2 linked regions of the Arabidopsis thaliana genome follow. The protein of the gene in region 1 purifies or fractionates together with the protein of each later gene. This does not show direct contact. Each region holds a gene or a part of one and is shown on either strand. Other genes may lie near its edges.

Region 1 (14,516 bases):
CGCCTTTGCTTCCCACACTCGAGCTCGCCTATGCTTCCCACACTCGAGTTCGCCTTTGCTTCCCACACTCGAGTTCGCCTTTTCTTCCCACACTCGAGCTCGCCTTTGCGTCCAGAAACATAAGCTCTGGTTCGGACAGAAACATAAGCCGAACCGTTTCGCGATCTGCCGAACAGATGCTCTACGGGGAGTAAGCCGAGCCCAGCATCTCGCCCCCCAAATAATATGCTGAGCCCGCCTCACTTATTTTGGAAACAGAGCCCAGAACTCCCTCTTTAAATCATACATAAGCCTGCTGGACATAAGCCGAGAGACGTCTCGCGTCCAGCACACGCTGAATATTCTCTCAAAAGCCGGGCTCAGTCTCGCACCTAACATCTAATCCAATTAGAAAAAATTGCGTTCGAAAAGAACTCAAAAGCCGACCTCAGTGGTCGCGGAGGAAATAAGCCAATTTAATAAAATCGCATTGTATTAATCAACGACCAAACGAGATCGGGAGCTATTACAAAGACATTTATTCCAGAATAAATTAGAGTTAAACAAGGTCGCCAGCTATCACAAGGGCGTTTATTCGAACGTTAGATCGCCCTGTCAGAAACTGCGATTATCCAGAAGAAGGCGATCTTGCATGGGCCACACTAGTTGCAGACCAGCTTTCTCCCAATCCTCCGAACGAATGTCCAATGCCCTAATCGTTTGTTCGACCTCATCCAGACGAGTGACGACCCTTCTTCTTTTCTTCTTCAGCTTAGCAATCAGAGTTTCGAGCTCCTCGAGACAAAAGTCCACTCTTCGTTTCTTGGTTCGAAAGTACTGCAGCTCGCGGCATTGATCCTGATGCAGAAATCCGACCTGAGAAATCCAAGCAACGAAATACTTAAAAAACATCCCGATATCGAAAACACAAACCAAAGCAATCCTTGGTTGACGAAGTTCTGACACTCCGTGGTATCAGCATCAGTAGCAGCCGGCCCAAGGTAGAATAGAGAAGGCGTCCTGGGAATGAAGTCCCCATCAGCAATGAAAATCCGGACTAGGCCTGTATCGATCTGCAACAAAAGAAAAAGCTATGAGAATCTAGTTGGGATCGACATATCTTTACCCTATCTATTTAAAAGAAATCTACCAGGAAACTCCGTCCACATCCTTTTCCTCCCCGGGAAGAAAGTTATGCTTTGGGCGGTTGTTCACCAGCCAATAGCCGGGCGACCTTATAGCTTTCAACGTCGTCATTTCTTCGAAACAACGGACGTTTACCAGGTAACCTTCTTCAGCACCGAAGGTCAGAGCGGCAACAAAACTACAGATCGCCGCCGGAGTAAGCTGGGAGAACGCCATACGACGACGATTCAGAAAGGAGATGATCAGAGACGGAATGGGAAACCAGAGGTGACATTGTCTGAAGTAGGCTTCATACATGCAGACGTACCCTCGAGGGGGATTCCACGGACGCTCATTTTCTCCGGGAATCATGTAAGTGAGCGGGCGATCTCCGGAGCCACACAAGGCAAATACTTCCGCGACTGACTCAGTTGTTGAAAGGGTCTTTTTCGCGGCGATCTCGGTGTTCCAGCTAACCACTGAGTCGACGTCAAATTCGACATGATCCTCATGAAGTAATTCGCATTAACTTCGGCCTCTGTATACTGTGGCTGCGTGTTATAAGCATCCTCCAGGTCGATGAGCGGGTCGAACTGAGCCAAGAAATCCGCCGGATCTTCAGGAGCAGCGAGATGTCCACCGGAACCTTCCCGATCGGGCTCATCAAGCAACGTCGGGATCTCGATCCGGTTAGATCGACTAGACTGAGCTTCGTCACTTGGATTCCCGGTTAACCGAGAGTTTCGGCGAACTAATGACGCTTCGCTCTCGGAGGAAGAAGAGGACGGAGAGACAAGAACAACCTTACCCATTGCCGGAAAAATCGATAAAGAATCGAGAGTACAAAATAATTCGCAGAGGAGAGAGCGAGAGCTACCTTTGATTCTTCTTGCAAGCGGCGGAAAATGATTTCCCGAGGATAACGTGAATAAAATCGAGAATTCGATTGAACTAAGTCATGAGCTCGCCAGAAGATTTAGGTCGACAATCGAGATCGCCATAAGCGGAACCTGAGGTCGTGTGAAGGGAAAACTTCCATTTAAAAGAGGGTAATCTCATGAAGAATGGAAGTAATGGGCCACACTAGTTGCAGACCAGCTTTCTCCCAATCCTCCGAACGAATGTCCAATGCCCTAATCGTTTGTTCGACCTCATCCAGACGAGTGTGTTACAGGGAAACCTGCGATTCACAAGAACAATCCAAATCTCCAATTATCATTCGAAACCAAACAATCAATCGATGTTCATAAAACACCAAATGATTCAGCTAGCTCTCGATGTGAGAGAAATCTAGCACTTACAAAGGTTCTAGAGAATTCTGAAGATTACAGATTATTCGATGATGAAAGCATGAGCATAACATGTTGCTCTTATACAAAAAGGTAAAGAAAGTAAACGTTAACCACGTTAATAACGATCGCCGTTAACGTCCATTTGCATTGCCAGCTCCCCAGCTCGCCAGCTCACAAGTACTTTGCCTAACATCCGACTTCATATTGCCAGCTCGCCAGCTCGTTTATATGCGTTTGAGCTTTAATGCTCCTGGTGGACCCAATGGTTATATGTGACCAGATCAATGGGCCTTTAATGGGTCAAAATTATTATCACTCAAAGCTTCTAATCAAACAAAGGCCCAAATACGTGAAGAGCTCTCCGCCGTAAATCAGTGGCTTTTCACCGACTTCGCCATTGCTAATCGCCGTCGAGCTTCCATGGCTGCTGCTCCATGGCTCTATCTCTCTAGGAGAAGAAGCTCCACTCAGACTTCATTAAGAAGATTCCTCATTTGCTCTTCTTCATTCGATGCCGATGAATTCATTTCCAGTCAAAGCCGCGTAATCGGCGGGAGAGGAGAAGAGGAAGTACGATTTTCCGGTGCTCTCTTCTCTCGTATGATTCATTCTTCTACTTATCATCCTTACCGTCAAATTCCATTGCCACACTCTGTACAACTGCTTGATGCGAGTCTTGGGTGTAGAGGTTTCTCTAGTGGTAGTTCTAATGTTAGTGATGGATGTGATGAAGAAGTTGAATCTGAATGCGATAATGATGAAGAAACTGGGGTCAGTTGTGTTGAATCAAGTACTAATCCGGAAGAAGTAGAGAGAGTCTGCAAAGTGATTGATGAATTGTTTGCGTTAGATAGAAATATGGAAGCTGTTCTTGATGAAATGAAACTAGATTTATCACATGATCTCATCGTTGAGGTTTTAGAACGTTTTCGACATGCTAGGAAGCCTGCATTTAGGTTCTTCTGTTGGGCTGCAGAGAGACAAGGATTTGCTCATGACTCAAGAACATATAACTCCATGATGAGTATTTTAGCAAAGACTAGACAGTTCGAGACGATGGTTTCGGTACTCGAAGAGATGGGTACGAAAGGTCTATTGACGATGGAGACATTCACTATCGCGATGAAAGCTTTCGCTGCTGCGAAAGAGAGGAAGAAAGCTGTTGGTATCTTTGAGTTGATGAAGAAGTACAAGTTTAAGATTGGTGTTGAAACCATTAATTGCTTGCTTGATAGTCTTGGCAGGGCTAAGCTTGGAAAAGAAGCTCAGGTTCTGTTTGATAAGCTGAAGGAGAGGTTTACACCTAATATGATGACTTACACTGTTCTACTCAATGGTTGGTGCAGGGTGAGGAACTTGATAGAAGCAGCTAGAATCTGGAATGATATGATTGATCACGGATTGAAACCTGACATTGTAGCTCACAACGTAATGCTTGAAGGGTTGTTGAGGAGTATGAAAAAATCAGATGCGATCAAATTGTTCCATGTTATGAAATCCAAGGGACCTTGCCCTAATGTCCGTAGCTATACCATCATGATCCGGGACTTCTGCAAACAGTCGAGCATGGAAACTGCCATTGAGTACTTTGATGACATGGTTGATTCCGGGTTGCAACCTGATGCTGCGGTTTACACGTGTCTGATCACGGGGTTTGGGACTCAGAAGAAGCTGGATACTGTTTACGAACTGCTCAAGGAGATGCAAGAAAAGGGACACCCTCCGGATGGCAAAACGTATAATGCGTTGATCAAACTGATGGCGAACCAGAAAATGCCGGAACATGGCACAAGGATCTACAACAAGATGATCCAGAACGAAATTGAGCCATCGATACACACGTTCAACATGATAATGAAATCTTACTTCGTGGCGAGAAACTATGAGATGGGGAGAGCAGTTTGGGACGAGATGATCAAGAAAGGGATTTGTCCTGACGATAACTCCTACACGGTTTTGATCAGAGGGCTTATAAGTGAAGGGAAGTCGAGAGAGGCATGCAGATACTTGGAGGAGATGCTTGACAAAGGAATGAAAACCCCTTTGATTGATTATAACAAGTTTGCAGCTGATTTCCACAGAGGGGGACAACCGGAGATATTTGAGGAATTGGCACAGAGAGCTAAGTTCTCAGGTAAGTTTGCTGCAGCAGAGATCTTTGCGAGATGGGCTCAGATGACTAGAAGGAGATGCAAACAGAGATTCATGGAAGATTGATAACTTGGGGGCGGGTAACTGGATCATTCAACTCACTCACTCGGAGAAAGCTTATCTGCAAATGGTTGGTTTTCGAGCCACAACTCTTACTTGAATCAAGAATATGACTTCACTAGCACAGCTTGGACTGAACTGATCACATTGGAATCTGTCAGATAGCTTTTTTGTAATTTGCTTCTATAACAAGAAAATATTAATTAACAATTGTGCACTCTAATGAAAAAAATTAATCATTCTTTCACTGAGAAAGTGAAGAAATGCAAGTAGGCCGAGATAATAGCTTAAAACAGAGCTTAAACCGTCTGCAAATCATTTGAATACAAAACAAAGTTTAACAAAAGGAAGATGAAACGTAGATGTTTTCATTACACAACAGACCCACACACACCATTTTATATGAGAGGGTCATATTTTTTTGAATTCTTAAATTCCAAGATACTCAATGAAGAATCACAACCTTTAGCGATAATGGGATCGAGGTCGCCTGAAAGTTCTCTGTATCAAAGGTATCAGAGCTCTGTAGTTCCTCGGAAAACATGGTGACTACAAGGTCGCAGGAGGGTGACGGAAAGGGGAAAGAGGTGGAGTTGGAGGTTCCGCTACAAAGTCAAGCTATACCTTTGATCTCACAACACGTGCTTTGCTTAACATCCCTGACTTCATATTTCCAGCTCGCCAGCTTGACCCCTGAACGCTATAGCTTGACTTCAGTTTTCCTATAACAAATCTCCCCTCTTCAGAGAACCTTGACCTCAAGGTTCATGGAAACATCTTTGCCAGTTTATAGAGTAACTCCATGTAGCCTCTTCCACATAAATCAACATGAATCATAGCTTTCCTTTTACCAAGTCCTAAACCTTGAATCGCCAAGCTTGTGACAACTTCATCATCCTCTGTTGTCTAATTCGTAGTTACTCTTTCTACGGATTTGTCAGTAAATCTGTAGCCCTTGCATCTGTCTTGTATTTAAACCACCAATCTTTGCCTAATTTCCTCACTCCCAAAGTTGAAACACAACTTTTGCTACCAAACAAGTGCATATATGTGAGCATCTTCATTGTCAAACTCTGAAACAGACCCTGAAGAAGGAGAATGCTGAAGCTCATCTTTATGCACTGAATCATAGGAGAACCAGTGTGAATTTGACCCTGAAGTGACACAATCTCCCGACCCGTTTCATGTCTGCTTGGATCTCCCATTCTTCGATCATAGAGAAGTGACAAAAAGCTAGATGTTGTAGATTTCATGACTAAGACCATCCAAGACCAGTGATCACCACTCATTTCAACATGCACCATGGTCTTGCTCTTCCAACAATGCCAAACCGCAAAATGATAAGTCATACGCAAATTGAAAGAATTCAGTCTCGTGAAACCCTCTTCCCCAAATTTATACTTGAACCACCACCGTTTGGTAAACTTGATCTTTTTGTTTCTCATCACTTCTTGAATGACTAAACTGGTTTGCAACAGCAGCCTCTTTACCATTGTAATCCGATCATACACAAATTGTTCTCCATGACCTGCATCACTCTCTGTTATCCCAAGTATCATGCTAAGCAAACATCTCACATCAACAATCCTGGCCACAATGAACATCTCTTGATGTTCTCTCTTATCAGACATTAGCTGAAAGTGTGTTGTATATCCATGTTCTCTCATCATTTGTAAATTTCTATTCACGAACTTAAATTTCCAGGACTTGAATCTGATATGTAACCCTATTGGAAGTGATTCATGATCCCCTTGGTCTTGTGAGCTGGTTTTAAATTTGAACTTCCAGGATTTGAGAGACTTACTAGGCTTCTTCTGGACATGGACGGTAGCACTTCCACAACTAGAGTGTAATTCATCAACAACAAATCCAATTGATGACAGCATTTGATTCATTGTTGCATCAACTTTATCAAAATCCTTAAGGTTTGAACGAACCTTCTGAAGTTGTGAGACACCTTCTATGTCTATGGAGTGAAACGCGGCTTGATCTTGAATCAACGGCTTATGTTCAATCCATGAATCTGTTTCACACTCTTCTATGTTGAATCCAAATACGTCCCCAGCATCCGAATTTTGATCATCATCACTAGACACAGCATCATCAATTTCAACCAAATATTTCTTCACCGTCGCAACCGCATTCTCTACCAAGTCTGAACCACTAAGGAATCGATCTCCATCATTACCTATCATGCAATTACCATCATTAATCATAGAAGTTCCTGCAGCATTACTTGAAACATGTTGAGCTTCTTTCTGATAATCATCACTCTCTTTTCTGATAAGCACACTCTTTGGGTGAGCCATCTCATATAATCTTCCCAACATTAAACATTGTTGAATTGTCTGAGGTCCAAACATCCTAACATTCAGTTGAGTATCAGTTCTCAAACCTGCCAAGTAAACACTAACCAAGTAATCTTCAGCGAAGTTCAATCTAGTGCTAATCAACTCAAATCGAGCATGATACTCCTCTATTCCTTCAGTCTCCTGCAACTGTGTCAGTTTTGCAATCGAGTCATTAACATGCTCATCATATCTCACTTGCAACAACAGTTTGTAACTCCACCAATCATGCCTAACATGCTTCCACCACATCGATTGTACAATTGATTGGTGCAAAGTCGCAGCAGTGTCATCGAAATGGAGTGAAGCGAAACCAACTTTCAATTCCTCCGGAGTACGATCAATTAAGAAAAATTGTTCAATCTGGAACAACCATTCTGTAATTCTATCACCATTAAATCTGAGATGCTCAAGTCTCGCAAAATCAGATCTCTCTTCCAATGGAAAATATTTGTTCGACATACCGACTCTCTCTTTGCTGGTGTCAGGAGTGACGATCGGAGCTGTAGATATCAGCTGTGAGGATCTTCCAATGTTGTAAGCTCTCGTATCCAACATTGATTCTCCGATGCACGGTGAGGATTGAACACCAAATTGCTGATTCGTCGTCGCCGCTTTGCCGGAACGCACATCAGATTTGTGACCACAAACCACTTTCAATGACGGATACATAGTTTCGTGAATAGCTGAAACCTCCCGATAAAACATCTGCGAACGAGTTTCTGCCATTGATTCCGAGGAAACGCTTGGCTCTGATACCAGTGTTAACGTAAACCAGAAATGAATAGACAGAGTTTGAAATCAATAGAACAGAGAGATGAAAACAAAGTACTCCGATTAACACACTTGATACAACGTTCGTAAAGAGACGCGATATCAACTTCTCACCTACAAGAGACTCGACGAGAGCTCCGGTAAAACGATGAGGGAAATCTAGAAGTCTCTAGAGAGAGATTACAACCAGATTATTCGATAATGAAAGCATGAGCATAACATGTTGCTCTTATACAAAAAGGTAAAGAAAGTAAACGTTAACCACGTTAATAACGATCGCCGTTAACGTCCATTTGCATTGCCAGCTCGCCAGCTCACAACACACGTGCTTTGCTTAACATCCCTGACTTCACATTGCCAGCTCGCCAGCTCACAACACGTGCTTTGCTTAACATCCCTGACTTCACATTGCCAGCTCGCCAGCTCACAACACGTGCTTTGCTTAACATCACCAGAGTTCAAAGCAAAAGGAACGCCTCCTTCAAACGAAACGATAACTCCAATAATGATCATTGGCACGCAAAACGCATCGGACGAGTTCGGAACGCTAGCTCGTTGTTCATCACGATTAACGACCCTCGTCTCTTCCCTCTCCCCCTCAAAGAACCACTTTCGAATGACTCGAACATCCCAACTCGAACACCAGACGACCACTTTGATCCAGGAGGCTCTTCAGAAATGCGACGGTCACGCAACAGCCGAGGCGACCCTTTTAACCTTCCTTGTCGTCTCGCTTGACTATCACCGAGACAGCACATTGCCGTAATAGCAGCCTATACTTTGATAGCCACGCGACGTTTCGATCCTCGAACCTTGAGAATCATGAAAGACAAACCAAACATTGCGTCTTCCCCATGCGCGACTTTTCACTTCCTTCGATTGAGTTTCGTGCACCTGAAATCCTGATCCACGTCATCAACGATGCATCAGGATTGGGGGGCAACTGTTAGGGGTCGGATTGGGCCTACTTGGCCCAATGCCCAAACCCAAGTCAAAAGCCCAAAATAAGTTCCAAACCAAGGAGTATTAAGGCGAAGGGTAGTTTCGTCAAATCCCTCGATGAATGCCCTACACGCGCAGAAGGCTATAAATACGGAATAGCATGTCTTGTCAAAGGGGGAGGCCGCGAGGACACTTAGAGACAAAGAGCAGCTCGTCAGCTCACCCGTCTGAAGTATCTCGCCAGCCGGCCCGTCTCAAGCAGCTCGTCAGATCACCCGTCTGAAGCATCTCGTCAGCCGGTCCGTCTCAAGTAGCTCATCAGCTCGCCCGTCTCAAGCAGCTCGTCAGCTCACCCGTCCGAAGTATCTCGCCAGCCGGCCCGTTAAATTTTCCCGATGGAGATTCTTCCGATTCCGGCGGAGAGTTTCAAGGTAGGATTCATCGGAGCTGGTAAAATGGCGGAGAGTATAGCTAGAGGTGTGGTTGCTTCCGGTGTGCTTCCTCCTAATCGTATATGCACCGCCGTTCACTCAAATCTCAATCGCCGTGATGTCTTCGAATCCTTTGGCGTCAATGTCTTCTCCACTAGCGAAGAAGTAAGTTCTTTTTCAATGTCTTGTTGTTGTTGTTGTGGTGATGAACTAAATTGAGATTGACGATCTTCAAAAAAATGACAGGTTGTTAAAGAAAGCGATGTTGTCATATTCTCTGTGAAACCTCAAGTTGGTATATATATTTCTTACCTATCCATTGATTATATGATTGATTCATCAATGTAATTTTGTGTTGACTTAAAGTTGTACCTTTCATATGATGTAGTTAAGAAGGCTGTCACAGAATTAAAGTCGAAGCTTTCAAAGAATAAGATTCTGGTTTCTGTTGCAGCTGGAATCAAGTTGAATGATTTACAGGTTTTGCATCATTTATACTCCTATACATTTGCCATTTAAGTTGTCACTATCCATGGTGTTGCATTGTGAGTTTCTAGAGCTCAATTTGGTTAAAAAACATAAAGGTCTCTCCTTTTTGTTTTTAGGAATGGTCTGGTCAAGATCGATTCATAAGGGTGATGCCTAATACACCTGCCGCTGTTGGTGAGGCAGCTTCAGGTATAGTTTATCAGAGTGTTCGCATTTGTGATATTTCTGAATTTTGTTTGTGATTTCTGTTTCTCTCTGAAGCTGTCAAATGCTTACATTTGCCAATTATGTTGTGTGTATATAGTTATGAGCCTTGGCACAGGAGCAACGGAAGAGGATGGAGCAATTGTTGCTATGTTGTTTGGCGCGGTGGGGAAGATATTGAAAGCTGATGAGAAAATGTTTGATGCTGTCACTGGTCTCAGGTACAGGAAAACACTGTAGCTGCTGAAATGCTTGAGTTGTTCAAGTCACTAATCAAGAAAATTTCAAACTTTTTACAGTGGAAGTGGACCAGCATACATATTTTTAGCAATTGAAGCTTTAGCCGATGGAGGAGTAGCTGCTGGTTTACCCCGAGAGCTTGCATTGAGTTTAGCTTCACAGACCGTCAGTGAACATCTACATCGCTTCTTTAATCTGCTTTATTATGGTATTGAATACCGAAACTAGAAAGAGAACCCTAAGCTTTGAGGTTTTTTGTTTCCTATTACAGGTTCTTGGAGCTGCAACGATGGTTAGCAAAACTGGGAAGCATCCAGGTGTGTTGAAAGATGATGTTACCTCACCTGGCGGCACTACAATAGCCGGAGTTCATGAACTAGAGAAAGGCTCTTTCCGGGCAACACTTATGAATGCAGTTGTTGCTGCAGCTAAACGAAGCCGCGAGCTCTCACAGAGCTAAATGATACATATGTAGTTGCTGCTATTGTTTCACCTCACAGATTAATCAAAATAAGGGTTATGGGCCTTATGGCATTGCTTGTTTTTAGGCGAGAGTTTTATCCCACTTGTCTTCGATGGTAGAGGTGAAGATTATTTATCTAGACTATGATGTATTAGTTCAGACAGAACTCAGATACTTTTCTATAATTCTTAATCTAATAAAAATCACTTTCAGTTTTGGGTTCAATATCTGACCAATAAGCCAAGCCTCGGACGTGATTCTGATTCTAAAAAAAATCGACTAAATTAAAGAATCTTTTACTATGAGTCAAAGCTTAATCTAGAGAAACTTCAACGAGGAAGAAGCATAGACTGGCTATCTATTTAATGATCACTGAATCTTCAAAGAATCCGACCAATTTTGCATATAACCAAAAGACTCATGACTATCTTACCAAATCTTGGTATAGAATATATACACATAAGAAAAAGAAACAAGTACTGGTAGTGAAGACAGATGAGAATCCACAAAAAGAAAATAACCCAGAAAGAAGCCAAGATTTTTCATACACGAACGTTCACTCTTTTTATCGGTCCATAATTTGCCAATTTGGTAGATCATGCCGCCATGCCGGAGAATACCATGTAAACCGTATGACTCGTAGCAAACGGTTTTTAAAAAATTTGTAGTAGAAAATGTTTATAACTGGGATGAAGATGATGAACCTGTAGTAACCAAACCCTCCCGAGCAGTAACAGTGACAACATTGGTGACACGAAGCACGGCTTGTGCGCTAAGAGCCGACAGTTTTGACTTGCAGAAAGTTTCCCAAGTAATTGGCTCTACCTCCGGGATTTGCTGTTCTTCTGGTGATGATGTCTCAGGGTTGATGAGAGGATGAGCTTTTTCATATACGCTCTGAAGTTCTAGTAGGACAGTCCGTGCAGCCTCACGGGATTCAGGGAGCTGATCGCTAAGCTGAGATGCGGCTGCTTGAACTAATTTGTCGATTCCATATTCTTTAATCCCTTCAACGCCCTGGAATATGTATTATAACGCAAGGTATTGTTGAAATTTTTACATGACATGCGATGCCTTTGTGAGAGATATATATGAAGTTGAACTTGTATTACCAGTCGAGGAACACTTCGAGAAAAGCATAATGATGCTTTGGCACGGATCCGAGGATTCCTGTTTTTGAGACAAGGTTGCAGCTTTGGTAACAGCAAGGTTGGGGAAACATATTTGGTCATTGCTGTTAAAGCTTTCTCTGCTGCCTCGCAAACAAACCGTTTGTCTTGGGAAGACTTGAGGAGTAGTTGAGTAAGCTGAAAGCATAAAGTGTATGAAAAGCTGTAAGAACAAGTAAAGTTCGCAGTAAACAGTGAAAGAATATAGCAAAGATAGAAAAGTTACCAGAGGCTCCAACAGATCTGTTATATGATTATTATATGCACTGAAGATATCTGCAGATGTCATGCATGCCGTTTTACACACCGCACTTCTTGGATTTTTCAGTGATTTCACGACAAGTGGTATCACTTTTTCACTGTTAATGGGATATGGTGAGACTTGCATTTTCCAATCTACTTTAAGAGACAATTATTTAGAAACATCAGCATAGAGAACAAAGCTTACAGCATATGCATCATTTCTTCCTTGTGGAATATCGAAAGTCGGCGAACGTTATTAAGAGCATCACAGAGTGAAATCCAGTCCTTGGACTCTAGTCCAGCTAAAACAGACTGAAACAATAAGACCAAACAGATTCTTAATGGCGTAAACAATGTAGTTCCAAATCTCTAAAATAGACAGATACAACAAATTCATCACAGTTATGATACTAATGGGAATTGATGTAATCACAAGACAGAAGCACATACCTTCAGAACTGCATCAGCATCGTCTACATTATCCAAGTTTTCAGATTCAATATATTCAACTTCCACAATAGCTATCTCTGGCTCGGGTTTCTCTGCTTCTACAACTTTAGAATCACTGGAATCCAAGGAGGCAGAGTTTGGTAATGGTCTATCTTCAGATTTTCCATTCATTTTACCAACACATGGCTTGGTCAAGCTAGCTTTACAGTCACTTATCTTCTCAGTTACATGAAGACTATTCATCTCTTTCAAAGTATTACTGGCCATACGTGAACTTACCTGCATAAAAACAGGAGAAAAAAAAATCATCATCAAAACTAAATACAGACCGTGGTAGAGAATACCATGGATATAATAATTAACCAGTGCAAGGTCAAGCACACTGCAGGAAGAAATCTAACTTATAACAATGTAGACCAGAATCATAACCAACTCTACATATCTAACACGTTCTCGAATTTACTTCCATAAAAGCTCAAAGGATACTGAGTTTTCGTGAAACTGTTACAGTAAGACTAAAATGAGAAACTTAAATCCGTTTCAAGCTCATCGGTCATCACATAGCAATAGATCTTTAGAAATTGCAAACAGATCTTTAAGTTCCACAAAGCTTGAATCAGCTAAGAAACTCCACCCACAAACAGAAATATAAAGAAGGCTGATTCAAGCTTTGTAGATTCATGTGTATACAATTACAAACCAAAACTCAAATAATAAGACACTTTAGCCTTAAGATCAGCTCTTTAGTCTCTTCGTACACTCAAATATTTTCTCAATTTCGGGATAAACACACAAGAATCTCAAAAACAAGAACAATAGTAAAATGCCATCAATAGGGAAGTAAAACTCTACTTGTCAACTTCACAGACTGTTGAATAAGATCAAAACGGGACCAATTCAACAGCACAAAACGAGACATAGCATAGATCTACATTTCCAATTCGAATTTCAAGCGATTTAACAATAACAACAAAAACACGATCTCACTCAAGAACTCTGAGAAGATCTCAATTAATTTCCAAAACAAAATCCTCGCGATTCCATTTCCGATTCATATACTTTCCACCGGCTGACTAATTCTCAAATTATAGAGATCAAATGATTATCGAAACCAGTTCAAACTTGCAAATGCGTATTCAAAAATGGAGCTAGAGAAATTTACCGGCGAATCAAAGCGGTGGCAAAAACACAGCCTCCGGAGTTGAGAAAAACTGACGGCGGAGTAGCGAAAATCTATGGACTCACAGAAATCGCCGGCCTTAAGAGTCTATATAAGGAAATGAAATTTTGAAATGCGAGAGAATCGAAAGAGAAATTTTAAGAGAGAGAGAGTCTTTTATTTTGTACAAGACGAGAAATTATAAAAACAGGCGATGCGATTTGATGCACTTTCACGAGTCGTATTCATATGGTGTGGTTTCCAAACGACGTCGTATTTCGTATGGTGTGATTTTGAAACGGCGTCGTATAATATATGTGGGACCCATACGCACAGGATTTTATTTGTCGGTTTCTAGTTACCATATGCGATACTGTGCCTCGCGGTTGAAATTAATGTTTTTTAAAAAAAATATTTCTTTCTCTCTTGTTCACATTATTCCCAAAAATATCCTCTTGACTAAATATATTATTTCCAAAACTATAACTTTTTGTTACTATATATTTCATTTTTAGCGATTATTATGTTTATTTGACATAAAGTCCTATGATTTGATTTTTGATTATGACCCCCCAGCGCCAAAAACATCCTCATCAACTGTTGTTGTAATTTAGTATCATGTTTTTTGGAAATGAATTTTCTTCAGAGATCTACATTTGTTTCTTGAGATCTTTTACAAATATTTTTTGGAAATGTTGATAAGATTGACTTTAAATGTCTACAATTTATGGATACACAGAAATGCATGGTAGGTCTAAGAGCTTTAAATCCATATCGTACTTCAGCATAAAAGAATGGTTGAATTCAAATTTGGTCAGATCCGTATAATAGTAATTAACTTGAATCATTTGTAAGATCGAGTTTTGATTTGTGACAATTAATGATTAATTTTAAGATTAACTTTAAGGTTTATAACAATGTATTAAAAAGAAAAATAATCCTACTATATTATTTGGGAAATACAATTTAAATGTAACCTTACTTTTTGTAAATAATT
Region 2 (16,617 bases), on another chromosome or scaffold:
GTTATAACCACAAATGCATATAACTGGAACATCACCTTGGCTACACCATCGTGTAAGCGACACCGGGCCTTGGGTAGCTAACCCAGTCTCTATAGGTCCTTTGAACCCCTTGAGGTCACTTGCATCTCGTCAAGCACACCCCACGAACGAACAGAATCACAAGGAAAGGTCAGATACATCCCACTTGACCGTAGCATGCTTATGGAGTTAACTTAGATACTCTTCAAGCTCCACACACTACGATCTTCCAATCAACACTATGAAACATGCGGTTCGTTTTCAACGCACATGTTCATAAAGTTCTCTCTAAATGTCTCCCGAATACTAGCGAGTAGTGTCTTGACAATGCAACCATCCCTCTAAAGTGAATGGTGCTATTCTAACACAACCACTCCTATAGGGCAAGGTGCTTCGGTCTCAACTATCCTAGCTATTAGGTTAACAACCTCAACAAACTCAACCATAACAACAACAAAACTAAGAGAAGGGAGAATCGAGAACATGCAAGAAGGAAAATCAAACATGCAAAACAAAAACCGGAACTCACAATCACCGATGAATCTTCCTAACTCGACCGATGGTTTCTACTCGGGATCTCTCTTTCGGACTATCCTAAGGCTCGACGATCTCTTGCTCAGACTCTCTCTCTCTCTCTCGGGTTTTAAGGTTCGGACGATCTCTCTCTCTCTCTCGGGTTAAGGGTTCGGATGATTTCTCTCTCTCCCTCTCGGTTTGGGCAGAGTTTTGGTGCGAAAGCTTCTAAGGTGTAACTAAGGGGGGGGGGGTAAGGTTCTATTTATAGGCTCAAGGTTCGGATATGAGGAGTGGGACAAAACTTGGTCACCAAGTTGGCTTTGGGACAAAACTTGCTCACCAAGTTGGCTAAAGTTGGCGTGCATTGCTCAGGACAAAACTTGGTCACCAAGTCGGCTTTGCCCGAATGGATTCGGCTCCACGTTTTAAGACTTGGGCTCTACTCTAGCTTCCGCGGATTATAAATACTCGGCCCTTCCTTTCATTTCACGCACCATTCTCTCTTCTTCTTCTCTTGCCCTTCTTTCTTGCCTGGGGTCAATGCGCGGGGTACTAAAGCCACCGGTTATTCCATAATTAGGGTTTGAGTTTAAGAATGGTTCGATAACAACCTAGCTTTCATTAGATCTACTAACCAATAGTTTCTTGAGAATACTCTGTTCCTACCTCTTTTCCTAATTTTTTACAACACAATCAACCTGCTGTTATCTTACTTTGTTTTATTACTATTTCAATCATCACCTTCTAGCTTAATCTCGACATTCAACTTATTGTTTGAACAAAAGAACTTTGTGAATTCGATCCTTAAATACTGCAATTGATCTCTTATATGAGAGAGTAGTTCTAGGGTAATTTGAACCTTATTAGTGATTTGAGAGTAGAAGAGATGGCTAGGAAGATTTAATTCAAGTTTGCTAAATTATCGGGATTAGTACATTACCATTCTAGTTATGGGATAGATATGAGGTTGTGGGTGTAAATTCTTAAATCAATTCACATTTCAAGTTCATAGTATAATAATCATACTTGTTTAATTTAGTATGTCTATATCATACATGATCTCTTTGATGTTAAGAGGAGCATCCAGCTTGGTTTTGACAACACAACATCAAATTTGGAAAAATATTTAGATTTGATGTCTTTAACGTACATGGAGGTTATGAGCGTCTTTATGTGTTTAGCATTTTAATCACCACAATAGTAACAAAATCATCGTTTAGTATTGGATGTAAGTGGTTAAATCTTTGTAAAAAAAATTGTCTTATTCTAAAAATTGTCAAAACCTTGCTTTATACTTGAAATTGACTACGTGGTTTTGTGAATTTAGAAGGTAATAAAAAGTTTATATTTTTGTAATAAACTTATTTTATTTAGTTGAATCACATCTTTAAATTTTAGGGTAATATCAATAGATATACATGAACGACTCATTAATTAGGTTGACCACTTGATCACTGTGCACATGTCACTATCATCCTCTTTTTTGTTTATCCTCTTTTTATCATCCTCTTTTTGACTCTTTTACCCCTTTTCTCTCTTTTCTTTTTTTCTTTCTTTTGTTTCTCTTTTATTTAATTTCTGACGATACAAAACTATAAGAATAATAATGGAAACATAAAATCAAATCGAAACAAAGATATTAAAATCAGTATTGGTGAGTTGACAAAAAAAGAGGTGGCGTGAATGAAAACGTGGATTGAGATGGCACGTTCATACAAATATTATCTAGATATTAAATATGTTAGCATGTTATTATTTTATATAACATGTTGTTTTAACTGCTATTATATTAATTATGTAAGAAATAAACTAATTCTTTAAATTGAACTGATATTTACATAAATAAAAATATATTAATTTTCAATTCTAGGTCGATAAAAGATTTGTTTAAAAGTAAACTTATCGCGATATCATATTTTTTAGCATATAAAACAAATAGATAAATGCTTAAATCATATGATGTTTTACTATATCATCTGATGAATAGTGTTTCGGTCGCATGTGAGCAGTGTTATCGAGCGGTTTATGAACTGTGTCGCCACATATTACGTCAGAAAAAATTGGGCTTCTTTCATGATTGGGGCATTTTCCAAGTTTTTAGTGCATTTAGGGCACATTGAAGAGAATAGACACTTTTTTGGAGTTTTTTCACTATTTTAAAAAAATCAATACCAGTTTACCCCTTATTCTCTTCACCTTAAATCAAGTAGCATGGTTAAGAAATGGTTTTGACGGAATCATCTCGTCCATCGAATTGAAAGGTAAAGTTAATCTCTTTTAATCTTGACCGTCAAATTTAAATAAATAAAACATATTTTCTCTATCTATCACTTTCTTATCTTTCTTGTCAATTTCTTCTCTCTCTTCCTTTTGTTATTTAATTTTTATTTAATTTAAGACATTCTCTATTTGATTAAAAATCATTTTTTATAAAATATATAATAATAACATTTTTTCCTTCATGAAATCCATATTACTATATTTATTCATACTATTATTTATTGTATCATCAAAACATAAACAGATTCAGAAAACAAAAAATCCATATGATTTAATCCATTTGGACAACAATGAAATATATAATCTTTAATGAGAACCATATAACCATAAACTCTAAAATCATTATAAACAATCATAGTTCCTTAACACTAAATTCTAAACCCTAAACATTAGATATTAAACTCTATACATTAAACCCTAACTTCTATATCTAAACCCTAAACCCTAAACTTTAACCCATAAACACTAAGCCCTTAACCATATACGTATACCCTATACCATATACCATATACCATAAACCCTAAATCCCAAACCTTCTTAATGTTGCCCATAAATATTAAGCTTAAACCTCTTATCCCTAAACCCTAAACCCTAAACCCTAAACTTTAAACCCTAAACGCTAAACCCTAAACTCTAAACCTTAAACACCTAAACCATAAACCCTAAACTTTAAACCATAGACACTAAGCCCTTAACCATAGAAATATATCATATACCATTTACCATATAAACCCTAAATTTTAAACCTTCTTATTATTGCTTATAAATATTAAGCATAAATCCCCTAAACATAAACCAATTGAGAACATAAAAAATTCATATGATTTAATTCATATGATCAAAATGGAAATATATAATCTAACAAGAAGCATATAACCCTAAACCCAAAAATAATTGTATATGACCATGGTCAATTAACCCTAAACCTTATACCATCTACAATAAACTCTATAATCATTGTAAACAATCATAGTTCCTTAACACTAAATCTAAAACCCTAAACACTAGATACTAAACTCTAAACATTAAACCCTAACCCCTAAATTTATACCCGAAACCCTAAACCCTAAATCTTAAATCCTAAATCCTAAATCCTAAATCCTAAACCCTAAACCCCTAAACCCTAAACCCTAAACCCTAAACTCTAAACCCTTGATATTAAACCCTAAACCTGTTAAACCATAAAGACTAAACCCTTAACAATATACATATACCATATCACGTATACCCTAAACCCTAAACCCTAAATTCTAAGATCTTCACTTTAAAACTTCTTGTTGTTGTCCATAAATATTAAACATAAATCCCCTAAATATAAACAAATTGAGATAGAAAATCCATATTATCCAATCCATATGGACAACAATGGAATATATAATCTCCAATGAGAAACATGTAACCATAAACCCTAAATCATTGTAGACAACTTTGATTCTTCAACCCAAAACCCTAAATCATCTAAACTAAACGCGAAATCCTAAACAATAAAGCCTAAATCCTAAAATGTAAACACTAGATACTAAATCTTAAACCCTAGACATTAAACCCTAGCCCTTGACTTTAAAGCCTAAACCCTAAAACCTAAGTTTTATATGTACATAATCTATAACCACCACTTTTGATCCATGATAATCTAAAGCACGCTTCTTAACCTGAAAACGTAAAATATTATTGAGATCGATGTGTTCATACACAATCTTACGATATACACTCGTATTTATGTTTTGTTAATATGTAATCGTGGATAAATAAATATAAACATTTTCATAAATAAACTTTTGTTGATATGACCAACAAAACTTGTTTCATCACATTTTATCAACATCTTTTACATAACGTAACACTGGTTTTATGAATAGTATTAACAAAACACAATCATTTTGAATTATCGACCGTCAACACACATCCACCAAACTCTGACCATGTGGTCATTTCAAATTATCGCCTATCACTCTTCTTTGATTTGTTTTGTATTTTTTCCATTTTTTCATTATTTGCTCATGTGTTTTAATGAAAATAGCATCAAACTACCTTTAAGTTACAAATTTATAGTAAGAATATATGTTTGGGTTCTTTAATTCAACTCTCTCTCTCTCTTTGAGGAATTTCCACAAATATTTGGTGGCCAAATCTAAGATTTGTAAAAAGACAAAAATTTGACCAAGACAATGATGGATACACTAAGAGAAGAAGAAACCTAGCAATTAAAAATGAAAATTTTAACCTTATGAGGTTGATTAAAGAATGAGAAACTGAATAAAAATCTTGAAAATTTCCAACTTTTAAGATCTAAGAAGAGAAAGAAAAAAGAAAAATCTAGATCTACTTTTTGGTGTTTTTGATGAGAGAGAAGAGAGATAATGTCTCAAACCATTTCCTTTTTTCATTAAGATATTTTAAGTGTTTTGTGTGTTTAATTTTGTAAAGAGTAGAGAAAAAAATGAATGAAAAGAGAGAAAAAGTAATGGTTGTAAATTATGGTAAGTTTGGATTGCTTAGGTTGGGTTGATGGTGTAGTAGTAAAAAAACTTTAAAAAGTGTTTACTCTTTCTAAAGTGCTTTATTGCGTAATTGAGTTTCAAAAAAGTGTCCAATTACCTAATATTCTCAAAAACATTTATCATGTTAATGACATTTCTGTAATTAACGTAAATGAGAAGGATATATATGGTTGATTTTTCTTTTCTTTTTTATAGTTACTTAATTTTCAAATTATTAATGTTATAAAACTAAAAACTATTCTTTTAAACATATATATTAATATAGCCTTAAATTTTAAGTGACATTGAAGAAAATTACGATGGAATTGAAAATGCTTACAACGATATTAAGTAGCTTAAAAATATGAAATTCTAAAATGTGCAATTCATAAATTTAAGATTCCTAGATGTAGTCCATAATTATATTTTTATCTGTTTGGTTTTTTATAATAAATTAGAAAAAATGGATAAAAAATGTAACCTTAGCTAAAAAGAAAAAGAAAGAAAGACCCAATAACCAACGAAATCCATTTACCCGTCCATAGGTCTTGGGTTCGGCCCATCAGTTTCCCGCCACATTGTTCCCGCCAAAACTCATAGTCGACATAAAGCCCTTGCCCCCACTCTCTCTCTTCGTTTAGAACTTTTTGATAAGAGAGAAAGAGATAGAGAAATTCGTAACGGAGACGAAGCAACGATGTCAGGATGGGACGAAGGAGCAGTTTACTACAGCGACCAGCCGCAGTTCCCGGAGGCCGGAGACGCCGCAACCATCAGTCCCCACGCCGTCTTAACCAAATTTAAGGAATTCATTCGAAACTTCGAGATCGAACAGAATTGTTTCCCCTACAGAGAAGCTCTCCTCGATAACCCTAAGCGACTTGTTGTCCACCTCGAAGATCTCCTCTCCTTTGATTCCGATCTCCCCTCCTTAATCCGATCTGCTCCTGCCGATTATCTCCCTGTGGTATGACTTCAAAAAAAATTAGGGTTCATATAAGCTTTGTATTGAGTGAGTCAATCTTTGAATTGTAGTTTGAGAAAGCAGCTGGTGAAGTGTTGACTGGATTGAAAATGAGGGAGGCTAATGAGGGAGGGGTAATGGAGGAACCTCTGACTAGAGATGTGCAGATTTTGCTCACTTCAAGAGAGGATCCAGTATCAATGAGATTACTTGGGGTATGTCTGTTTTTTTGTTTTTAGTATCAATGAGATTACTTGGGGTATGTCTATAATGTACTCTTTACTCTTGATAGGCACAGTACATCTCAAAGTTGGTGAAAATCTCTGGGATTAGTATTGCAGCTTCGAGAGTGAAAGCAAAGGCGACTTATGTGTTTTTGGTATGTAAGAATTGTAAAAAGACAAGGGAAGTTCCATGTCGTCCGGGTCTTGGTGGGGCAATTGTTCCTCGATCATGTGATAATATTCCACAGGTGAGTTCTTTTGATTCGTTTGTGATTTGAGTTTGTAGTTATCCTTGGTGTTGATTAGACCAAATTGGAATTTGTTTAGCCTGGAGAGGAGCCTTGCCCTCTTGATCCTTGGATGGTGGTTCCTGATAGGAGCCAGTATGTTGATCAACAGACCTTAAAGCTACAGGAGAATCCGGAGGTATAGATTTACATTGTAATGTTTTCGCTTTTTTTGCACTTGTATATATTAAATGCTTCTGAGTTTTGAAGGATGTTCCTACTGGAGAGCTTCCAAGAAATATGCTTCTCTCAGTTGATCGGCATCTTGTACAAACAATTGTACCTGGAACCAGACTGACAGTAATGGGTATCTACAGCATTTTCCAAGCTTCGTCATCATCTAACTCGTAAGCTTTGTAGTTTTATGTCAAATGAGAGTGTAGATTGTTTTCTGGGAGAGTTACACCACAACAATGATGGACATCTTTTCCTACTTTCTGATGTAGGCATAAAGGAGCAGTTGCAATTCGCCAGCCTTATATCCGAGTTGTTGGACTGGAAGACACAAATGAGGCCAGTTCCCGTGGCCCTGCCAACTTCACTCCTGACGAAGTTAGTATCGCATCATTTGGTTCTTTTTGTTTTCTCATTTGATAGCCTATGTCATCCATGGTTTCACAATGAACTATTGAAGTTAACATGGCTGAATTATTGTTACTGGAAACCAAATGCCTTAGGTAGCTGTTGGCTCTATGAAATTCTTTGTGTAACTCCCAAATGAATGTGATGGTGTTTTCTGGAAATATTCTCTGTGCTACTAGTTTACTATGAAACATTTAGGCCTGCTTGGAAGCCTAGTTGTACAATTCCATTTATCAGTTTTGTCTTCCATAATATTACTTTTAGGAGGAAGAATTCAAAAAGTTTGCTGATAGTCAAGATGTATACAAGAACATTTGCACCAAGATCGCTCCTTCTATATTTGGCCATGAGGATGTGAAGAGAGCAGCTGCGTGTCTTCTCTTTGGAGGATCCAGGAAGGTAGGAAACTGTGATAGCAGTTTTTATTTTCTGTGCACTTTGTATACGTTTTTGATATATTTATATACATTTCTATCTTTGATTCAGAGCCTGCCCGATGGAGTGAAACTAAGAGGTGATATTAATGTTTTGCTTTTGGGAGACCCATCAACTGCAAAATCACAGGTTTGTAATGTGGTCTCAGTATCAATGGTTTATAATAAGTGTGTTATTCTTTTTATATTTTCTTACGTCTCTCTTATTTGCTTGATATTCGTCTTACATCCTTCTGTTCAAGTGTTAGATTACAATCCTTACAAAATGTCTGTGTTATTTCCAACACCTGTAGCTTACATGTTTAAAGCTTAATTGCTTATTTTTTTTCTCTCTAGTTTCTTAAGTTTGTGGAGAAGACGGCTCCAATTGCTGTTTATACATCTGGAAAGGGTTCATCGGCTGCTGGGCTCACAGCTTCGGTGATTCGAGATAGCAGCACTGTATGTCCTATCTTCAAGTGTTTTTCTATGATTTGTTTAAAAGTAGTTGCTATGACAGATTCTCAGTTATTTATACATATGTTCATTGCAGCGAGAGTTCTATCTTGAAGGTGGTGCTATGGTTTTGGCTGATGGAGGTGTTGTGTGTATTGATGAATTTGACAAGATGAGACCGGAAGATAGGTAATTCAAATCTGAATCATAGTGTTGACGAATCTAATTTTTCTCTATGAGTAGAATTGATGGAATGTTTTTTTTTTCTTTATAGGGTTGCTATTCATGAGGCAATGGAGCAGCAGACAATCTCCATTGCAAAAGCTGGGATAACAACTGTCCTTAATTCTAGAACCTCGGTGCTTGCTGCTGCTAACCCGCCATCTGGTCGATATGATGACCTTAAGGTTTGAAATCTGGTACTCTCCTTTGGCAATATCATGGTTTTCCCGATTCTTGTTTGCAATATTCTTAAGAGATGGGTGTGTTTTTTTTTCTTTGGATTTGCAGACTGCTCAGGACAATATCGATCTGCAGACAACAATTCTTTCTAGATTTGATCTTATCTTCATTGTCAAGGACATCAGGAAGTATTCCCAAGACAAGGTAAGCAAGGAAAGGAACAATTCTTTCAGAAATTTTATGTAGTTAAAAGGGAAAACAGAGATTAATGATGGAGGTCACTGTTATTGGAAAGTTTGCTTCGTTGCTTGCTTATTATGTAGACATGATTAATGTTTATAATCTTTTCACAGGAAATAGCCAGCCATATTATAAGGGTTCATGCATCTGCAAACAAATTTTCGGATGAAAACACAGATTCTAAAGAAGATAATTGGCTCAAAAGGTGTGTTTTCATTCGTCGAGAAAACAATGTGTTCTCGCAGTTTTCTGTACAAAATCATGACTCTAAAATATAATGCTCTTTTTATGTTAGGTATATACAATACTGTCGAGCAAGGTGTCATCCCCGTCTCTCAAAAGACGCTGCTGAGAACCTGCAGCGGAAATATGTCACAATCAGAATGGTAATTGTCATTTACATTAGATTTGACAATAAGATGGTTAAAAAACAAAGTTGGTGTCAGTATAAAATTTTCGGCTAAACAGGATATGAAGAGACGTGCACATGAAACAGGAGAGGCTGCTCCGATACCTATCACAGTGAGACAACTCGAAGCTATTGTCAGACTGAGTGAGTCACTTGCAAAAATGAGACTGTAAGTAATCTTATTAACATAGAGATTCCTGATTCCTGAAACCTGATGGGATGTGCCGTCCATTGACATTGTTAAATATGTCAGGTCACACGAGGCCACACCAGATGATGTAGACAAAGCTTTTAAACTTTTTGATACCTCGACAATGGATGCAGCAAGATCAGGGATAAATCAACAGATAAACATAACAGGCGAGATGGCCAATGAAATCAAGGTTAGTTGCTTGTGGGGAAGAAAGAATCATCGTATCTCTAGATGTAATAACTAAATTTGGTATTGGTGTGAAAAAACAGCAAGCGGAAACACAGATAAAGAGAAGAATGGGGATCGGAGCTCGATTATCAGAGAGAAGACTGATAGAGGATCTGGCTAGAATGGGAATGAACGATTCAATGGTACCTAAGCTAACATCTTTGTTGTTTAATTTTCAGTAATGTGAATGGGATTTTTGAGGTAATGTGCATGTTAAAATGGCAGGTGAGGAGAGCTTTGTTGATAATGCACCAGAGAGGTGAAGTTGAGTACCAGCGAGAGAGACGTTCTATTGTCCGCAAAGCTTGATCGTCTAGGCATGCAATCTCTCTTCTTTAGTAGCAGCGATGACCAAACAAAACAAAATATTTAATATTATCAAGTTAATTTGTAGGCAAAAAGTAGAAAGAGAAGCTTATGTCATGTGTATTTGATGAAGATTCTTAGTAAACTTTTACGCTTGCTTCAAACTAATGTATTCTCCACCTTTGTTGTCCTTAGTTAAAATGTCACGCCAATGTTAGGAAAGCGTTTGAAGATTGCTGAATGGTATAATCTAGTGCCGATAGTTAAAGTAAAGATGCAGATAGAATAGTTGATAAAGTAAAAGTGTAATCTGAACGTATATGTAAATTAAAATTTTCTTAATGTTGTTATTAGTAGAATGTTGTTACCTTGAAAAAAAAATGAAATAAATAACCATGGTTGAACTTGACTCAAAATGTTCTTCTTTTAAACTGGTTCGGGTTACAAAACTAGTATGTTGTTGAATTTTGAACTGGTTCTGAAGCTCCCGGAATCTCTCAATTTCATTTTGTTCTTGTGTTGTTGAGAGATAATTGCTTCTCTATTTAACATATTTTTGGCCAATTACTTTACTCTATCATGCATAGCTTGGGAAACTCATGGCTAAAGCTGTTTTAAGTTGCAATGAAGAATCAATTCCTTCTGAACTAACTTCTTGGAAGAAAAACAGACAATAAGAGTACCATTGTTTACTTCTCAGTTCTCAATCACCATCGAATTAGATAGATATTTATGAATTTGGATTAGGCAAGTCCATGAAGACTCATTTATTATGGAAAACTGAGCATATAAATGAGCTACTACAGTTGAAACTAGTTTTTCTTAATTTCCATGACAAGATAATTATAGCAGAGATCAGAAGTTACAAGTGATCAGATTCTAACAACATTTCACTGAGAAGCTCTGACAAAGCTTGAAAAAGTTGAGGAGTCATCTTGCAAAAGATGTTGTGGTTTTCCTTGTTCAACAAGAATTCCACGATCAAGAATTAGGATGCTGTCTAAATCAACAACCGTAGAAATGCGGTGAGCAATGGTAATGACGGTTACGCCTTTGCATTCACTCGATATCGTGTTGTGGAGTAGGGAAGCTGTGTGAACATCGATGTTGGCGGTGCATTCATCAAGGCATAGGATCTTAGATGACTTGAGCAAAGCACGAGCAAGGCACAAAAGCTGTCTCTGTCCAACAGAAAAGGAACAACCAGATTCCTTTACATATGAATCTAACCCTCCTACACTTTCTACCGCTGCCTTAACTTTACACTTGTCTAGGATCTCCCAGATTCTCCAATCCTCACTCAACCCAAGAGGATCAAGGTTATCCCTACGAGAACCACAACTTTTTTTCATTATGAAACTGCAGGCAACACCTTTGGTTAGTGAATTGAAGGAGTTAAGTTCTCACCTCAGTGATCCTTGAAACAGAAAAGGGCTCTGAGGAACAACAGCGAGGCAAGAACGGAGTTCTCTTATCGGAAGATGGCTTATGTTTTTTCCATCCACCAATATCTCTCCACTACAAACAGGAGTAAGCCGGAAAAGCGCATTCAAGATCGAGGACTTCCCGGCACCAGTTCTTCCAATTACTCCTACCTGATAAATGAAAACAAAACAATCATGAGACAGAAAAAGTCAATTCTGTTGTAGAGTGCTCTCTCTAGCGGATAGTCTCTTCCCGATAACTTCATATAAATTGTATATGTTGGGAGAAAAGATAAAAACAGAAAAAGTCAAGTCTGTTGTAGAGTGCTCGGCGATACACGTACATGCATTCCTCCTTGGATTGTAAAAGAAATTTGGGTGAGGGCCGGAGGCAGAGTTGAGATGTATCTCATTGTCACATTGTGAAACTCAACTAATCCGTGAACAGGCCACTTATCGCTGAGAGATTGAGGACCTGAAACTTCTTCTTGAGGCACATCCATGTACTAATAACACAGGAGAGCATGGTTCATGTAATTAGTAACACTAACATACAAAAATTACTTAATGAATCAGAATCATTATCTTTATCTTTGATTTCTCGTAGTGCGAATGTAGAAGTGGATAATTTGGCACGACGAATTTGTACCGAACCACATCATATCATATATGTAAACAACATTCCTCAGGAATGGCTCTTTTGAGCTGCAATTAATTTCGGTTGACAAACCAAAAAAAGAATCAGAATCATTACCTGGAGAACCCTTTCAACAGAAACCATTTCTTTTTCTGTTTCAGTAAAACTTGTTAACAAGCTTCCTAACAGAGAAACCAATGGAGCTGCATATGAGAGCGCTAATCCCACCTGTGATCCAAATTATAAATAGTATGCTTTTCACTTTCCTATATATTTATGAAAACTGCAGTTTCTTACCAGTCCAGGTGTACCAAAACTGATTGGAAAGTTCCCCCCGGAGCCGAGGACAGCCATTACAGCGACAAATAAGACAATCATTGATCCTAACAACTGCACCATTTTACTCAACTTATCAGCGATTTTTCGAGATTTCCATATTTATTGCAGACACATGAAACTAAACATTGTTACCAATTCTCAAAAGGTGAATGAAAAATGTTCTACAAAATGTAAGCAAAGATGTATTAGTGTACCTGAAGACGCAAGGAGAGCCACAAGCTTGCGATTATCTCTGAGTAAGAAGTCCGCTGGTATAGCGTCAAATGCTCAATAAATCTACCTACAAAATGCTCCTGTCATGCAAACCGGAATTAGCATACAGTTTTGTCATTAATGGAGAAGCAAAACCTGACATTTAGAAGCAGAACCAAAACTACCTCAGACTTAAAAGCCCTGATAGTTGATGACCCATCAAGTGTCTCCGTGAACGATGCATATATCGGTGATCGTGAAACACTGTCCAACCTTCGTAGTTCCCTTGAAGTAGACCTGTAGAAGACCTGAAGCAATTTTCAGTTAGTAGAAAATTTGAACTCTTCTTCTTCTCTAAGGGACACCAAATATGAAATCAGATTGGCTACAAGAAGTTGTATATGTACCTGAAGCTTGCTGTATATGTACCAAAATGGCAGAAGCAGAAGCAGGAATAGAACCTGTATACATATTATACATTAATGTAACTTCTCCAACAAAACAGAAGAGTTAATACTTAGCAAAAAGAGAGAAGAGTTTCAGACAAACCTGAACATAAGACAATACTACAATAATCCCTAACAAGCCAACAAAATTTGCTAGAAGAATGTTGAGAATAAACGGGAGAGAGTCGTCGATGGTATATAGATCAGAGGAAAACCTGAACAGAGTAAAACCAAAAAAAGAAGTTAAGATGAAGAACAAGACACATGATTCAAAGAGTTTCCTTGTGTCTAACCTATTAAGTATTCTTCCACTTGGTGTCTGATCAAAGAACTGTGTAGGTGCATTTATAAGCTTACTGATTAATGCATTATGAACATGCACTGCTGCTTTTAATCCTCCAAATGCAAATGAGAATGCCCTCACCAAGGTTAATATTGAGTTAATGATGCAAAAGATACAGAGAACCATCTGCAAGATTAGTAGTTATTATTAAACTAGAAAAACACAGAGACATAAGAGTTACGTTTCGTGGTTTTATGCGCGAGTTTAATACCAAATAAAACGAGGTTGAGTAATGCGATACTCCTTTTCCTGTCTTGTCAACCCAATATGATAGCCACAAATCATTTCCATTACGAGACCCTTGCATTAAAACCGCTGAAACCAATATTACAATAGTAATGAACCAACCAGAAAACACAGCATAGTTCCTGCATAAACAGATAACAATCACTTACTTATACATATAGGCAACAAAAAAAAGACATGGTTAAGCAAATTTTGTTTACCTATAAACCATCATTTCAACTCGACCCTCTTTTCGTTCCTCTAATTTGACGATATCCGCCGCAGCTTCACTAATTTCATCTACACCATCTTCCTTGATAGATAGAGTCTCTTTTCTTTTGGTCAAGTGATTTGGTGATGACATATCAAATTCATTGGTTAAAGAAAATGTTGGAGAAATGGATTTGGGCATATCAGTAACACTTCCTGACCAATTCACTTTTCCTTTGTCCATCACAACAATCATATCTGCACAAGATATCGCCTGTCATAGTAGAAACAGCTTGACGGTATGAGAAAAAATTAAATTGAGATAGATAAATATTTAACGTGTAGAGAGATTTGAGACCTGAATGTTGTGAGTGCACATAACACGAGTCTTTTTGTTCAACAGAGGACCCAGAAGTGCTCTTTGCAATATCCAACATCCTACTTGTGAATCCACTGCACTCAGTACATCATCAAGAAGGTACATGTCTGAACCATGATAAACAGCCCTATTGATAAAGCACACACAAAATCATCAGAAACACAACACTCAAGTCTATGGATGGTGAAAGAGCATAGGAGATATATAGCAAACCTGGCCAAAGCAAACCGAGCTCTCTGTCCTCCGGATAAGTTTAGTCCTTTATCACCTATACACGCCATGTCTCCTCCGACCATAAGTGAAATATCCACATCTAGTGCACAAGCACTCAATGTCTCGAAATACCTAGTTTAACAAAGTCACCACTAGCTTTGTCTATCAGTTACACTAGATCATAACTTTAAGAGTTGATGAAGCAAACTTACTAAACCTTTTGGAGTCAAAAGGCTTCCCGAATAAAATGTTTTCACGTACAGTTCCAGACAAAAGCCATGGGACCTTGAAGGTGAGTGAGGTACATGTAAGACTTCTCATAGTGGAAACCAAAAAGAAAGTATTTAACCAGTTTACAAACCTGTGGTACATATGCCACAGAGCCATTTAATAGTATAGATCCATGAACACACCGCATTTCGCCTAAAAGTGAATTCAACAACGATGTTTTACCTGAACCAACCTGAAAATTAAGCAAACAAAAAGAGTTTAAGAAACACCTAATCATAATTTAATCGAACTATGCAGCTCTAACGGTGGGGACGATTCGTATACCTCCCCGATAACTGCAACAAAAGATCCCTTTGGCACTCTTAGGCTTACTTGTTTTATTGTCAAGTTATAATCCTCTTCTACGTTACTTGACCAAGTACAAGATGCATCTTCCACACATACAGCTAAGTCTTCAGATGTAAATCCAGAATCTATAGAAAAATCTCTACTATGCTCCAAACAACACAAGAACTTGCTCACACGCCTGGTGGATATAAAGGCCTGCAACAAGGTAACAAAAATGATATATAACTAAAATGGTAGATAAAAATGCTTCTTAATATGATCGAAAGATAATCTTACATCAATGAGACCGTTGATGACCCATGGAAACGAGTTTAATGGAGAGATTAAGCTATTAAACAAAGCAAGACAAGTAAACACCTGGAAAAAAAAAAACAGGATTGTCAAGAAAATTTTACATATTTGAATCAGAAAATGTTATAGAGCAGATTCAAAAAGTACCGTTGCTGCATCAAGTTGATGACCCATCAGAGCAAAGAGACCAAAAGTGCAAAGAGAAAAAAGAGTTGGTGTTGTTGCCCAAAAGAAAACACACCAAGCATCTAAATACTTCCGAGTCTAGAAAAGCCAAACGAAGACTTAAACGTTAATACAAAGTACTTGGACAAAACAGCAAAAGGAAGGATACGAAGACCTAACCGCTAAGTGAGTCACTTCGGTGGCTCTTGTTTCCTTCAACCAATCAGCAAACCAGTTATCCCATCCATACATTTTAAGTGTGCGTATGTTTGTTAAAAGCTCTCCTGTTTTTCTAATCCTGATAGATAACAAAACTTTTTACAATGTGAGAAATTACTACTAACATCCCTCTTATGATCAACACTTACTAAACGTTTTCTCACACCTCTCATCTTTAAGCTTCATCATTTTCTCTGTTGCAGATGCAATCAGCACCGATATCCATTTATTCACTGCCAAAAAAAAAGGGAAAATGAGAAAAACTGGCATCACCAACGAGCTATTGGCCCAATACTAAATCTCCGTGGAGGTGATAGGTTCGAGGCACGTTGGGAGGGATTTCTTTTTCAAAGGAGATGAATCTAAAATGGTGTGGGTCTCGCCTCTAGGAGATGTATGGCCTTTGGGCTTACACTTCCAGATATTCAAAAGAAAAAAATGGGCATTCTATATTGTAGTTACGATAATGTAAACTGGGTACCTGGTATCAGCAAGATGGTGATTGCAAGTCCAGAAAGAAAAGCAAACTTGACTTGAGTATACAAAAGATACAAAGCTATCCCAATTTGCAAAGGCAGGCTGAGACATATATTTGAATGAAAAATTGTAAGAGTGGCCAATTTATTGTTACTCAATATTGGAAGCACTTTCATTGTTTACAGGCAAATGTTCTTACCTCCACAAGTCATGCAAACTGTTGCACAAGTTAACAATGCGGTCAGCATCTACCGACATAAATGTTTGAATCTCGCCTTCAGAAAATCCTGACCGGTTTGCTGTGTTCACCCACAAACACTGCATACAATATAATTTCATAAACAAAAACAGCTCTTTACCAAAAGAACCAAAACGTTTGATACTATGTATGAAGTTATATATCGTATACTCAAAAGGTGCGTCTCCGTTTGTAGTAACGGCAAGGAGATATCGATATCTTTAACCGAATACTCGCTGAAG

What was found.
Region 2: the proteins of P5CR (region 1) and MCM5 fractionate together in Arabidopsis thaliana (co-fractionation; one large-scale study listed by BioGRID). This does not show direct contact.

What each region holds. Positions count from the first base shown.
Region 1 is NC_003076.8:4,782,169-4,796,684, reverse strand, and holds P5CR (pyrroline-5- carboxylate (P5C) reductase), read left to right. Parts: upstream 1-8,688; 5' UTR 8,689-9,066; coding exon 9,067-9,267; intron 9,268-9,348; coding exon 9,349-9,397; intron 9,398-9,490; coding exon 9,491-9,582; intron 9,583-9,707; coding exon 9,708-9,780; intron 9,781-9,895; coding exon 9,896-10,016; intron 10,017-10,094; coding exon 10,095-10,200; coding exon of another isoform or gene 10,201-10,204; intron 10,205-10,306; coding exon 10,307-10,495; 3' UTR 10,496-10,725; downstream 10,726-14,516. Other genes in the region: AT5G14820 (Pentatricopeptide repeat (PPR) superfamily protein), read left to right, coding at 2,817-4,613; AT5G14790 (ARM repeat superfamily protein), read right to left, coding at 11,177-11,515, 11,611-11,805, 11,894-12,026, 12,116-12,222, 12,361-12,627.
Region 2 is NC_003071.7:3,516,763-3,533,379, reverse strand, and holds MCM5 (Minichromosome maintenance (MCM2/3/5) family protein), read left to right. Parts: upstream 1-5,879; 5' UTR 5,880-5,991; coding exon 5,992-6,261; intron 6,262-6,329; coding exon 6,330-6,473; intron 6,474-6,550; coding exon 6,551-6,730; intron 6,731-6,809; coding exon 6,810-6,908; intron 6,909-6,979; coding exon 6,980-7,116; intron 7,117-7,215; coding exon 7,216-7,321; intron 7,322-7,615; coding exon 7,616-7,750; intron 7,751-7,837; coding exon 7,838-7,915; intron 7,916-8,121; coding exon 8,122-8,226; intron 8,227-8,317; coding exon 8,318-8,409; intron 8,410-8,494; coding exon 8,495-8,627; intron 8,628-8,730; coding exon 8,731-8,826; intron 8,827-8,975; coding exon 8,976-9,067; intron 9,068-9,157; coding exon 9,158-9,248; intron 9,249-9,330; coding exon 9,331-9,440; intron 9,441-9,524; coding exon 9,525-9,654; intron 9,655-9,733; coding exon 9,734-9,835; intron 9,836-9,917; coding exon 9,918-10,001; 3' UTR 10,002-10,396; downstream 10,397-16,617. Other genes in the region: ABCC13 (multidrug resistance-associated protein 11), read right to left, coding at 10,889-11,324, 11,406-11,593, 11,767-11,928, 12,177-12,287, 12,357-12,449, 12,593-12,691, 12,776-12,898, 12,998-13,051 and 15 more. UniProt on the Arabidopsis thaliana protein: Probable component of the MCM2-7 complex (MCM complex) that may function as a DNA helicase and which is essential to undergo a single round of replication initiation and elongation per cell cycle in eukaryotic cells.